2 linked regions of the Elephas maximus indicus genome follow. The protein of the gene in region 2 interacts with the protein of the main gene of each other region in a pairwise test. Links are inferred from orthologs where the notes say so. Each region holds a gene or a part of one and is shown on either strand. Other genes may lie near its edges.

Region 1 (7,258 bases), on a different chromosome or scaffold from region 2:
ATCTCTTGGGCTCATAATTACCTTGTGTCTTTGGTGTTCTTCATTCTCCTTTGTTCCAGGTGGGTTGAGACCCACTGATGCATCTTTGATGGCCGCTTGCTAGCATTTAAGACCTCAGACGCATGGCTAGGTATTTTTATTTAATAATTTCTAAAAAGCATATAGAGTGGCTTAGGGAACTCTGGACTAGTCCACAACATAGTGTTAGCACTGACTTTTTTTTTTTCAATCAAGTTCATTACAATATTTGGGGCCCTGGTGGTACAGTGGTTAAGCGTTTGGCTGCTAACCAAAAGGTCAGCAGTTCAAATCCACTAGTCGCTCCTTGGAAACCCTATGGGGCAGTTCTACTCTGTTTTATAGAGTTACTGTGAGTCAGCATAGACTCGACGGCAACGGATTTGGTGTTTTGTTTTTAAGTAAAACTGGCGTTAAAATGTAATAATAGCCTTTATTACATCTCAGCTCAAGACTCCATCCCTAGAAAGAAATTTGCCATTGCTTCTGGTATTTATTTCCTGGTATTTAAAGACTAGGGAGCTCTAGTGGCACAGTGATTAAGAGCTCAGCTGCTAACTGAAAGGTCAGCAGTTTGAACCCACCAGACACTCTGTGGGAGAGATGTGGCAGTCTGCTTCTGTGAAGCTTAAACCCATAAACTCACTGCCCTTGAGTTGACTCCGACTCATAATCTTGGAAACTGTATGAGGCAGTTCTACTCTGTCCTACAGGGTAGCTATGAGTCAGAATGACTCCATGGCAAAGGGTTTGGTTTTATTAAAGACTAAGATCCCTGAGTGGTGCAAATGGTTTGCACTGGAGTACTAACTGAAAGGTTAGTGTTTCAAACCCACCTGGTGGCACCATGGAAGAATGTCCTGGCGATCTGCTTCCCCAAGAAAACCCTATAGAGCAGTTCTACTCTGTAATACACGGGGCTGCCATGAGTCAGAATTGACTCCACAAGCAACAGGTTTGGGTTGGTTTATCTAAAGACTATGGTACTAATCCTGTTTTTTATTTATTCTAGATGTTATCTATTTTGTTCCTGTTAGTGCAGAAGGACTTAGCATTATTTCAACATCCCCTCATTTCTGCTCCTACATATAAATGTTACAGTTTTTCCTTAAATCAATTGTCAGTGTTTAAATGATGACACAAGTTAAGTGCACTACAGAGCCACTAACGTACGCTGACATCCTTGTGTTGATGTTTTAAACGTTCCTTTTTCATTTCACGGCGTTTGAGAGGGAGAGAAGATCAAAGCATGTGGCCATCATACCACATTTAACAAGAAGTACTAATACCATATTTGAAAACTTTCTAATAGATTACATAAAGTCTCAAAGTTTTATTATTAGAAGGGAGAGGCCCTATTTCATCCTGATCTCTTGTATTTAGCATAAATTAAAACGATGTACTTTTCTTAAAATTTAAGAGACAATTATAAAATCTGACTTTTAATTTTTCATAAAAATACTTTCTGTGCCATCATTACCACTAAGAAATCGGGACCATCTAGATAACAAAAGCAGGGGATTAAAAAAGATACCCTATGGTAATGACAGATAAAGAAGATACTCAGTGAGAAGCGTGGATATAATAAAGCCCACAGCTCGGAAATTTTAGTAATCAAAGTCAAGCTATTAATTACTAACAAAGACGCCAACAGTGCTTTGTCTTTCACGGTGAATGCACAATTAGCACTTAATATTAAAACTAGGGAATAAACCATCTATAATCCACTGAAAAAGACCATCTGCTTCTATAAATTTTGTTCTCATACACTTGCCAAAAGCAGAGAACAGATTAACAAAATAATGGGCCTTGCGCTGTTAATTGGTAGGTCATTTGCAGTTGTGCTGTTGCTATTAGAATTTAGTAAGCCATTCCTTCTGCTAAATTAATAAGCAGCCAAGATTATGTAATGGTTGCTTTCAGCAGCTAATTATTTTTCCCATAGTTCCTTCTCCCCCTTACCCCCAATCAGCTAGTCTCCAGCCCTCATTTTCCGAGCCACAGACCAATGTTAATTAAGAGCATAACCAATGAGTTTCAACTTGGAGGTGGCTACCTCTGGAACCCTGGGGATATAGGTGTTTGGTGCAGAAAAACAGACAGCAGCACTTGGAATTAGAGGGTTTCATTGCATAGTATCAGAGCAATCTTTGAACCAATGGCACCTGTTTTTGGTAGTAAGGGAGAAAAGGACATTGGAATGTGCCTTTGGGGCTTGACTGGGCAGGGAGCAGGGAGAAGCTTGGGTGGGGGCCTAGAGAACTACAGATAGCCAGCTCTGTGCTCTTCCCTGGCACTTTCTTCTGTATTTCAATATTCATCAATCATACAGGTTAGTAGGAAAATTTCCAAGCACCAAGACCAGTGCTTAACAAGGGGAAGCATTATCAATTTTTATTTTGCTAAATAAAGGCATTAAAAAAAATGCCCCCAAGCCCCTATTATATACTCTCGATTTTATAAAGACATTTTAACACACACACAAAAGAAAGAACACAATCCTTCATTTCTTTAAATTTAGCTTCATGAAAAATTTAGCTTTTTTTTACTGGGAGCCCTTAGAAAATCTTGGAGACTATTCTGGAACCTTTGCAAAAAAGGGCATGGTCCAACAAGAACAATTTTCTAGCTTCCTTTGTAAGAATCCAGGAGACTGGGGTAATGAATAGCATTCGACACGGGAAACCCGTGGCTGCTCAAGCAAGGTCACTTAATCCCATGGGGCTTCCCTTTCCTCATCTGTAAAAGAAGATGGTTGGACTAGATGATTCATCAATTCTCTCATTCAAAACAAAAAAAAAAAAAAATATCAACATTCATTGTGTGCCAGGAACTAAGCTCAGCATTCCGGTTACCAAATCTATCATTTTAGAGTCCTTATCGGTCAACACACATTAAAAAAAGATTTTTTTTATTGTGCTTTAGGTGAAAGTTTACAGTTCAAGTTAGTTCCTCATACAAAGATTTATATACACATTGTTATGTGGCCCTAGTTGCTATCTCTATAATGTGACAGCACACTCCTTTCCACCCTGTATTTCCCATGTCCATTCAGCCAGCTCCTGTCCCGTTCTGCCTTTTCATCTCACCTCAGGACAGGAGCTGCCCATTTAGTCTCATGTATCTACTTGAACTGAGAAGTATACTCTTCACAAGTATCAATTTTATAACTCATAGTCCAGTCTATTCTTTGTCTGAAGAGCTGGCTTCGGGAATGTCAACTTACATATTTACTAGTTGGGACTTTTTTTTATATATGCCAAGCGGTAGAATAGGCTGGGGATGCAAAATGGAATACAATTCAAGATGTGCTAAATGGAGGCCAGTGGGTACATGGGACAAAGAACTCGTTCTTACAGGGTTTTAGGGTCAGACTTCACAGGAGAGGGGACGTTTAGGAGAAAGGGCATGCCAAGCTGAGCAGATCTTCGGCAAAGCTAAACTGAACCCAGACGGGTAAGGGGTGGCCCCAAGTGACGGGAACAAGACTCTATCTCGAAGATGAAAGGCTGTCTGCGTTTTTCAGCAGAGAACGGACAGTAACCCATCTGATACGCAGCACTGAGGATGGGCGAGGCAAACGCACGAAAGACTCTTGCAAAGCCTGGGGCGAAAAGTGTCTAGACTATGGCAGTAGCCGCGCCATGGGAGGCAAGGGCCGGGTTCCGAAGAGTTATGAGGCGGAATACTTGCAAAAGAACCTCTGACCGCTTGCACGAGCTCCACGAAAGAGCTGACTTGATTTCCCAGGAATTGCAGGCCCACTCCCCTATCATCCCTGGCCGTCACACTTCCCTCATGCCAGCCTCTTAGGGGCATGGAAAGTGATCCGGGCACGAACGTGGCTCTTCCAGGTAGGAAGCTTCCACGATCGGCATGGTGGTACCTGCAAAGCACGCCACGGAACCCCGTCGACCCACCATAGACGAAGCCCGGGAAGCAGCCCGCGAGCACCCCGGGGGCAGGGGCGCCAGGGCGCAGGCGCGCCAGCCCCGGCAGAAGCCGCTTCCGGGTCACGTGGCCGAGTTTCCGGTCCGCGCCACCCGGCTGGGTGGATACCCGGCCAATCGGCTGCCTTGGGCGGCGCCGTCGCCGACTCTGCCTCCGGTGTCGTGGGCGGTGACCGGGCTGCTTCCCGCGCGTCGCCTAGCCCGCCCCTCCGCTCGCCGCAGCCCCGGCTCCTCCCTCGGCCGGCCCCCGGGGCGGGGTCTGTCGGCTCGCCCTCCCCTCGCCGCCTAACCCAGCCTTTCTCCAAACTGGTCCCCTCCCCTCAGCAACACGGCTGCTGCTCCTCACCCCGGCGACAGGGGTTTCCCCTTAGCCGCCACCGCTGCCGGCCGAGCCCCGCCGCGCCCGCGGCCCGCGGCCGCAGTAAGTCCCGGGGGGCGAACGAAGGCTGGGGAAGGAGAGGGTGGGGGAGGGCCGGGCGCGCCCCCCGCCGCCCCGCGCGCGCCCCGGCGAACCCACCCAGCGCCCGCCCGGCCGCTTCCCGGGCGCCGCGCCCCGCAACTCACTTCTCTCGGCGTCCGCGCCCCGGGCTGCAGGAGTCCGTCCCGGCCGCCGCACCAGCCCCGTCGCACTTGTGGTTCGGGAATCGCTTCAAGTTTTGCGGGGCGTTTTGGGGAGGGGACGCAGCGGGGAACTGTGGCGGCCGAGGACCCCTGGCGCCCCCTGCGCGGCGGCGGATGCCATTGTCTCCTCGCCCCGGTGCGGCCAGCGGATGGAGTGTGGCCCCGAGGGGGGGCGTCGGCGACGCCCAGACCCGAGGAACGCTGGCCCCGAGCCCGCTCCGCGGCAGAGCCCATTGTTTTTAACACCAACCTCGAGGAATTGTGCTCTGCGATTTGCGGCAAAATCAAAGCATTGATTTTTAATAAGAGGGAAGGAGTACTTTAGGGAGAGTGAATTATTTATTTGTCCTGTGGAGTGGCAGGGCGGATACAAGAATGCTGCAGACAGCCTTGAGCCCAGACTCCGATCGCTAGTAGACCCCTACCTTTCCTGGACACCAAGCTCTATGAATACAGAGTCCATTCTTTTCCGAGTTCTAGTAACGGGTTTATATTCAGCGTGGTCCAGTCGATGCGTCCCTTGCGGCCCCTTCGAATGCCGCTATATGCAGGATTTGTTTGGGAGGCACACTGACGTCTCTGAATAAGGTTCATGTATTTTGTGCCAGTGAAGGGTTTTGAGATAAAATTGCTTTGCGTCTTTAAGCCAGTTTTAACTTTAAAAAGTTAAATTGCGGCGTCATGAATTTCCAGATATCTCGTTGATGCCTTTTTGGATTATTACAAAAAAAAAATACGACACTAATTAGCGACTTTGGAAATGTAGGGCTCATTTTATTCTAAATTGGTTGTGTAAATTCCGCCTTTCCATGTTCATATTCAAGATGGTGTGATGAATATTAAAAACCAGGTTTGAATTATATTTGCAGCCACACTGTTAAAGGAACTTATAGTTAAAAGAAAAAAAATCTCTCTGAATTGTACCTTTAAATTGCCTTTGTTGAAACGATACTTAGATGTGCGCAGTTGAGATGACCAGTTGAATTACAAGAAGAACCAGAAAGCCAAACTCGTTGTGGTCCGAGTCGGTTCTGACTCATAGCGACCCTCTAGGACAGCGCAGAACTACCCCATAGGGTTTCCAAGGCGCTGCCGATGGATTCGAACTGCTGACCTTTTGGTTAGCAGCGGACTCTTAACCACTGCGCCACCGGGGCCCCTCTGGTCCTTTAAAAATTAAACATGTAGATGAATCAACATCTGTTGGTTTGCAGATTCCAAATAACTATACACAGAGGAGCGTATCAAATACGCTAGAATACAGCAGTCACTCAATCTGTAGGTGCTATTTTTGATGGTTTTTAAATGAAGTATTGTGTAATGTCTCTAAATATGTTTAACTCTTAGTACTTCTGGCTTTTTTAAGGTTTATTTTCTCTTTCATAATCTTACACTCATTATTTATTGTGTGCATACGTATGTTGGATTTTTTAAAAAGTGAGGTCAAAACATCTTTAAAAATCAGGCTCTCATTAAGAAAAACATCTATTTATGGGATCCTTTTTTTGGTTAATATTTTAGATTTTTAAATTTTGTTTAAAATATGCTAGCATAAACTGAAGAGTGCATTTTAAGTGATAATATCCTTGTCTACAAGGAATTCAGCCCGGAGCTAGCCGGCCTCAGGGTGAAAAATAGTAGGTCTTCTCTTTCTTTCAAATGTACCTGAAGGAGATGTCTCCAGTTCTTCTGTGATGCGTAGACAGTGTGGGTATACATATAAAAAAAGCACAAGTAAAAAATACTGTTTTAAATGACAGAAGAGTTATCTTTCTTCAGAAATTTCACTCCAACTGAACTGGTTTTCTTTTCCATGCGCTCCTTTCCAAACTTGAGTGGAATAGGGTGGGGTGGCGAGGTCTGCATATAGTAAGAAGAGCTTTCTGCAAGCATCTCCTGCTGTTTTAATTGGCATAGAAATACTGATAGCTACTAGTCATTATCAGTTAAACACCCCCCCCTTCTCTAAAAAGCATGTAATTTTAATCTTAACTCTGTTGAGTCAAAGTGTTGCATCTAACCTTGGTTTTATTTACCTTAACAGATGCAGTTTATGTTGCTTTTTAGTCGTCAGGGAAAGCTTCGACTGCAGAAATGGTATGTCCCATTATCAGACAAAGAGAAGAAAAAGATCACAAGGGAACTTGTGCAAACCGTGTTAGCACGTAAACCTAAGATGTGCAGCTTTCTTGAGTGGCGAGATCTGAAGATTGTTTACAAAAGGTATGATTTCTTCCCCCCCCCCCGCCACCCCAGAACGTTGAAATAGCAATCTTAGGTCATTTATGATGTGAAAATTGCAGACTTTTAAGAGATGATGTTTATAAATAATGATTAATAAAGATTTAGATGAAATAGGTTTAAGGTGAAGCTTTGTGTTTGATGAATTACTCAGTCTAAAACGATAAATGCAGGGAAATAAGCTATAAAACTATACAACTGAAGGCATAAATGCTTATTAGTTATCATTTTAGAAAAATGGAATTCAGTTCTTTGCAGAGATCAATATTTTTCATTTAGAAAGTGGTATAGTCTATTAATATCTGTACCTGTTTTAAATCCTTTAAATTTCTCGATTTTTCTGAGCAGGTTGAAAAAAAATTTCTTGAACGTTTTTAGGAGGACCTTAACTTTCTTCCCTATTTCTGTTTCCCTTTATGACTAGCTTA
Region 2 (7,166 bases):
CAGTTTCTCAATTCAACTTTTTTAATTAAAAATAGTCTTAATGGTTTTGGAAAATGACCGTTCAACATTTAAAATTTTGTATAAAGAGTTTTTATAAGTCACAAAAACTTTTTTCTTAAATATATCATTCATTGTCAAGACTTTTTAAATACTGAAATATTATAACCCAGGCATTGCTGGCAATTTCTGTACTTTAGTTTCACTCTAAAATTTGCCACCAAACCTAGAACTTCAGTGAAAAAAATCAAAAGAACAAGAAACTGTTCCCAAAAGAAAATGAACTGAGGTTTCCTAAACATTAATGTTAATTTCAAGTGTAATCCCAACAGCCTTGGACAAAGTGATATTCAACTATATGCTGATCAATCAGTGGTGCACTAAACAGTCCTTAAAAATTTCCAAGGCAAAAGAACACTTTCTTCAATTGAATGCAAATCCCCAAAGAATGAATAACATTTAAATACCTACCAGTACATTATACCACGAAATGAATGGAGTTAAATAACACCTGACAGCTCCTGCAATATTTTGCTTTAAAAGTGTAACTCAGAACATTTTAGAAGAATCTGTAAGGGACAGTTAGTGAAGGAGTGAGCATTCCATAGGTGTTCAGTGTTTGACAGTTCCTTTAACCATGAAACTCCATAGCTTTAGAGTAAACTACGCGAACACTAATAACTCACTGATATCTAGTAGTAACTAATACATTTTTGAAAAATTCCCTTAAAACAAATAAGTTAACAAGACCAGTGAGTCTTTACAATGAAAACATTCAGTATTCTACTGAGGCGTCATGTAAACACAGTTCATCTATAATCTCATTTCAATAACTTGGCAAGAATAATGCACTTACGCATTAAAAAACTCATTGCCACTGAGTCGATTCCGACTCATAGTGACCCTAAAAGACAGAGTAGAACTGCCCCACAGGGTTTCCAAGGAGTGGCTGGTGGACTGGAACTACTGACTTCCGGTTAGCAGCCAAGCTCTTAACCACTGCACCACCAAGGCTCCACCACCAAGGCTCCACTTATAGAGGTATTAAATACATATATTAGAGGTACTAAAAATATTTTGATTCAGTTCAAGTTATAAATTCAAATTTCAGCAGTCACCAGACTGTGATCTTAGATAAGTAATCTCTTTTAAAAATGTGAAAACCCAAGCTGAGACGTGAAATAGTGGTGAATACATATAAATATTAGATATTAAAAAATGTGACTCAATTCAAGTTATAAATTAAAATTTCAACAGTTACTAGACTGTGATCTCAAATAAGTTATTTTACAGATATAAAAACCTAAGCTGAGATGTGAAATAGGGGTGATTGAATCAGACTCACCTAACTTGAAATGTAAGAAATAATCAGTGAATTGCTATGAAATGCTTTTATTCACGCATGCTACCCTGCAAACATATTTTAGATGCAGAGTAAAAGTAGTGAAATTACACTTATCTGGAAGGTCTGTATTTTTCAAAACAAAAGCTAAGGTGTATACTGAGAAGAGCTTAAGTTAATGTTAAAAACCCAACACACAAAGTCAATACGAGTATTTTCTAATTGACCAGTTTTTTTTTTTTTACAACAGAGAGGAAAAAGAAAAGTCAATGAACCATTTCTAGAGTCAGTGAGAGAGATCATTTCTACACAATACACCTAAAAGTTAAAATTACTAAGAAATCTTCATTCACTCCTCCCTTCTGTTGACTAATCCCTACAGCAGCCAAAAAAGTTACTCTCCTTCCTAACTACATCAGATTACTATTTTTCTTCATAGGCAGCTTTCCATTCCCAGGTATACGTTAACACCAAGAAAAATGTACAAATGTCAATAAGCACCAAAAAGCTAAGTGCTCAGCAAAAGAGGGTAATCCACCAAAAAGAAAATATTTGACACCCCCTACTTTACACACACACAAAGCCATTTAATTTGCTTTATAAACATTTACTACTGAAGTACACTTTGAGCTGGTGCTTTGATGGATCTTCTACAGCCAGCCCTAACAGAGCTCAACCAACCGTCCCAACTTTTTCAGGCAGTCAGAAAGATCGGGAGAATTATTAAAAACTGACGTCCTCAAGACCAAGACTTTGAGTGAAGGATAATCGGTATACGCGCAGTTTAGTTTGAAAAAAAAAAAAACATAAAACGGAGAATTGAAAAAGACGGTCGAAAGGTTAGAGGAAGGCGAGGTCGATGTCCGGTTCAGGGAGGACGGCACTGGAGGGACAGACAGCGATTAACTGAACATTTGAATATGCTGAGGAGAGTTCTGTGAGACACCTGACCCGGGTACAGATACAAGAACGCTGATACGTGGCTCTGTGAAGACACGCGGGGGTGGAGCCCGCCCCGCTAAACCCCAGGCTCCCTGAATGGAGTCCTCAAAGGAGAACCGCAGACTACGAAAGTCAACGGGTTCATGGAGGCCCGCACCGATCCGGGTACGCCAAAGCCAAAGTGCCGCCGCGCGCAGAGCCACCGGGTCCGATGCCTCAGGGGCGGCCCTCAAGAAGTCAGAGCAGCCCTTGGGGTCCGGGCCCCTCCTGGCCCAGCCTCTGTCCTCTGTTCTCACCCCCCACAGACTAGAACCGGACCCCTGGGCTTATCAGGAAGCTTCCGGTCGAGGGCTCGCAGCAGCCGCTGGGCAATAGAAGCAATATACTCTCGGCGCCGAGAGTGACACTCACCGGCCCGAAACCTCGAATGAAACCAGCAGCTCCGGGGGCGGCGGCAGCAGTGGCAGCAGGAACCGAACATCCAAAATGGCGGCTTCCTCGCCTCACCACCGCTACCGCAGGCGGAGGGATCCTTAGGAGGGACGGAGTTTTAACTAACTTCACACACTATTGCATAAACTTCGGGTTCCTATCCTCCTCTCCTTATCGATTCCGCACCCTCTAACTGCAACCTTTTGCGCCTCTCTTCTGCTATTATCCAAGAATCTAGACGTCGCCGAGGACTATTTGCCACGGAGGAAGCGACTGCCCCTGGCCGAGCGACGCGAAGCGTAGCAAGGTTCGGGGCTGTCACTGATGACGCGAGACGCTGCTGCCGAGTCACCGCTGCGATGAGTCTGAACAAGAAGGATCCGGTCAACCCCGGAGCTGACGAACATTGGTTCCGCTTTGTGGGGGGAGGGGGGAGGGAACGGGTTGGGCTAATGGCACCTGAAGGGGGCGGGGCTAGGTAAAGTAGCAGAGGAAGTGAGAAAGGAGAGGCAGGTAAGGGGTGGAGAACCCCGAGCCAAATCATAATCCACTGAAATCCCAAGCTCTTTCAGATCACCTCTGCATGAAGAGTTAAAGGAGGACACAGTACCATCATTCAACCCCTGCATTGGACAAGTCATTTAAACTCTGTGGGCCTCACTTCCCTCTTATGTAAAAAAAAAAAAAAAAAAAAAGGATTAGGCTAGTGATAAAACCTTTCCAGACTGGGCTTTCTGTGTATGTCTTCATGAACTAATAACCTGAACCATAGGAAGCCCAACCAGACAGTTCCTGGCTTGATAAATAATTACTAACACCTGACCAAGAATATTTTCCATGTGAACATAAACAGTGTCATGATATCTTGTCCTATTTAAAGAAAAGGTGACCTACCTAGACTAAAACTCTTCGGTTAGATTGGAGATAAAGTGCCCCCCAAAGTGAATAAAGCACAGCACCCGGCTGGATGCACCAGTGAACCGAACTAATCACAAGCATTGAGTTTAGGACCTGAGTGTCATTGGAAAGAGTTTGTATTTTTTTTTTTTTTTCTCCCTTAGGCAATCATTTTCAGGGGGTTCAAAACACTGCAAAAGATGAACGGGGTAGCCCATCTGTACAATTTTGTCCTTAAACTACCGGATCATGCAAGGTGGCTGAAATAGTAATAATAGTAATCATCTTTTACCATTATTAAATATCGCTATCACATTGTTAACGAAGCACCTTCATATGCATATGTATTTTGACCCTCCCGACAACCGCCTGAGTCAGGCTGGGTAAGTGTAAGTAACTTAGTTGTATAAATAAGGAAACTGAAATTCAGACACTGACTTACCAAAGGATCCGCCCCTCCTTTCTCCCCTATGCCGCTGTAGTCCTGCTACCAAAAAACCAAAAACCCTTTGCCATCGAGTCGATTCCGACTCATAGCAACCCTATAGGACAGAGTAGAACTGCCCCATAGAGTTTCCAAGGGGAGGCTGGTGGATTCGACCTTTTGGTTAGCAGCCCAACGCTTAACCACTGCCCCTCCAGTGGTCCTACCCTGCAAATTGGGAAACAGTAACCTCTCGTCGTCCTCCCCGCCCCCCGCCCCGTCCCACCTACACACACACAGTCTCTCTCTGTCTCTCTCTCTCTATCTCTCTGTCTCTTTCTCTGTCTCTGTCTCTCTCCCCCCCCCCCCCCCGTCTTTGTGTCTATCTCTGCCTTTCTCACGGTGGATTTGACCCAAAGCAAATAGTTTAGGGAGTGGAATGCTTTTGGAATTCAGCACCCTCTTCTGCAGGAATACCATATGATGCCATACCTGGGTTTCTCTGAGGTATAGCTATTCAAGAAGGAAGGTGCTTTATTCCACCAGGCCAAATGGCAGACCATTAAAGAGAAAATTGCAGACATTACAAAATGGAGACCACTCCAAGCTTGTTTGTTTTTTTTTTTTTTACTTGTATTTCACAATATTTATAATTACCAAACCCCTCCTTCATACAACTGAAAATTAAAAGCAATTGGCCCAGTATATAAAGGGTCTTCATTATCCCAGGATCTTTGGTTTCCCTGGGCAGTGATTAAAGTCTGGAAAGGTTTATTCCTCATCTTCTCAAATATAATCCCTAATCCCAGATAAATAAATTACAGAACTTCCATAAAATGGAATATTATGTTGCCAGTGAAAACAACTATAGCTCTATCTTTATCACCGTATGGCAAATTTTTTTAAATAATATTACAAAAAAGTATTATAAAATGAGCTTGTAAAAACTACATATGCATAGAAAGAAATTTGAAGGATAAAACTACAACACAAAAATAGCTATTTTGGGGTGGTGGGGTTATAGATGATTTTCACTTCTTTACAATTTTTTTTTTTTTTTTTGCTGTTTTTGGTTTTGGTTTTTGTGTTGCATCAAGCATACTGTACTTTTATAGTTGGGGAAAAAAACAGACTTTTACACTTTGAAAAAAATTCTTAAGATAATGAAGTTTTTCAGATCCAAATGCTAAAGATAATTTTTGTTTTTAAAACACCAACAGCCTAAGAAGATTTAACAAACTTCTAGGAATAGAGAATGGCTGGGAGAAAACATCATTGTTTCTATGATTTTGTTTTTTATTGATAACTTACGTGCTTCAATTTAACAAATAACAACTGAAAAAGCATTGGCCAGGAGTCAAACCACTTGGGTTCCAGTCCTAGTTCGGTTTAAGTAACTTCCTGCTCTGAGCAAGACATTCAATATCTACGGGTTATGGCTTGCCTTGTTCCAAAATAGATTTAGAGAGGTGGCACAGTGCTTAAAAAAGCTTGGCTGCTAACCAAAAGGTTGGCGGTTTGAATCCAACAGTCACTCCTTGGAAACCCTATGGGGCAGTTCTACTCTGTCCCATAGGGTTGCTGTGAGTTGGGATCGACTCAACCACACAGGACAACAACAACTACAAGTGACAATAGCACAAACGTATGCTGTCTTACAGTTTACAAAACTATTTTCATATACATTGACTCATTTGCTGTTCACCCACCATGGGCTTGTAAAACACATGGGCGCTATTGCATAGTGGTTAAGAGAATGGGTTTCTAGCGATAGCCTGCCTGGGCTTAAAACCTTGTCCTTCCACTCATCCTTGTGTGACCTGCAGAAAGTTATTTAACATCTCTGAACTTTCATGAGCCTCTTTCTCATCTGTTAATGAGTCTTCCTCCAATCCTGATGCCCCGTTCTTCTTCAAATAGTCCAGCTTCTCAGCCTATTTGCTCAGCATACAGATTAAATAGGTATGGTGAAAGGATACGATCCTGACACACACCTTTCCTGACTTTAAACCATGCAGTATCCCCTTGTTCTGTACGAACAACTGCCTCTTGATCTATGTAAAGGTTCCTCATGAGCACAATTAAGTGTTCTGGAATTCCCGTTCTTTGCAATGTTATCCATAATTTGTTATGATCCACACAGTCAAATGCCTTTGCGTAGTCAATAAAAACACAGGTAAACATCCTTCTGTTATTGTCTGCTTTCAGCCAGGATCCATTTGACATCAGCAATGATATCCCTGGTTCCACATCCTCTTCTGAAACCAGCCTGAATTTCTGGCAGTTCCCTGTTGATATACTGCTGCAGCCATTTTTGAATGATCTTCAGCAAAATTTGTTTGCATGTGATATTACTGATATTATTCTATAATTTCTGCATTTGGTTGGATCACCTTTCTTGGAAATATGCATAAATATGGATCTCTTCCAGTCAGTTGGCCAGGAAGCTGTCTTCCATATTTCTCGACATAGACGAGTGAGCAACTCTAGCACTGCATCTGTTTGTTGAAACATCTCAATTGATACTCTGTCAATTCCTGGGGCCTTGTTTTTCGCCAATGCCTTCAGAGCAGCTTGGATTTCTTCCTCCAGTACCATCGGTTCCTGATCATATGCTACTTCTTGAAATGTTTGAACATCGACTAATTCTTTCTGGCATAGTGACTCTGTGTATTTCCTCCATCTTCTTTTGATGCTTCCTGCGTCATTTAATATTTTCCCCATAGGATCCTTCACTATTGCAACTCGAGGCTTGAATTTTTTCTTCACAACTGGACCAATGAGCAATATCACGATAAACGGAGAAAAGACTGAAGTTGTCAAGGATTTCATTTTACTTGGATGCACAATCAACACCCATGGAAGCAGCAGTCAAGAAATCAAATCATTGAGTAAATCTGCTGCAAAGGACCTCTTTAAAGTGTTGAAAAGCAAAGTCCTTGAAGACTAAGGTGCGCCTGACCCAAGCCATGGTATTTTCAATTGCATCATATGCACGTGAAAGATGGACAAGTAAGACCGAAGAAGAACTGACTCCTTTGAATTGTGGCATTGGCGAAGAACATTGAATATACCATGGACTGCCAAAAGTACAAACAAATCTGTCTTGGAAGAAGTACAACCAGAATGTAC

What was found. The genes of interacting proteins can lie anywhere in the genome.
Region 1: the proteins of AP1G1 (region 2) and AP1S2 interact in binary tests that used the Homo sapiens proteins (3 or more experiments, as listed by UniProt). The link is inferred for Elephas maximus indicus from reciprocal best matches to the Homo sapiens genes AP1G1 and AP1S2.

Annotation. Positions count from the first base shown.
Region 1 is NC_064846.1:163,729,217-163,736,474, forward strand, and holds the start of AP1S2 (AP-1 complex subunit sigma-2), read left to right. Parts: upstream 1-4,252; 5' UTR 4,253-4,389; intron 4,390-6,633; coding exon 6,634-6,812; intron 6,813-7,258. UniProt on the Homo sapiens protein: Subunit of clathrin-associated adaptor protein complex 1 that plays a role in protein sorting in the late-Golgi/trans-Golgi network (TGN) and/or endosomes.
Region 2 is NC_064839.1:38,637,792-38,644,957, reverse strand, and holds the start of AP1G1 (AP-1 complex subunit gamma-1), read right to left. Parts: upstream 3,048-7,166; 5' UTR 2,693-3,047; intron 1-2,692. UniProt on the Homo sapiens protein: Subunit of clathrin-associated adaptor protein complex 1 that plays a role in protein sorting in the late-Golgi/trans-Golgi network (TGN) and/or endosomes.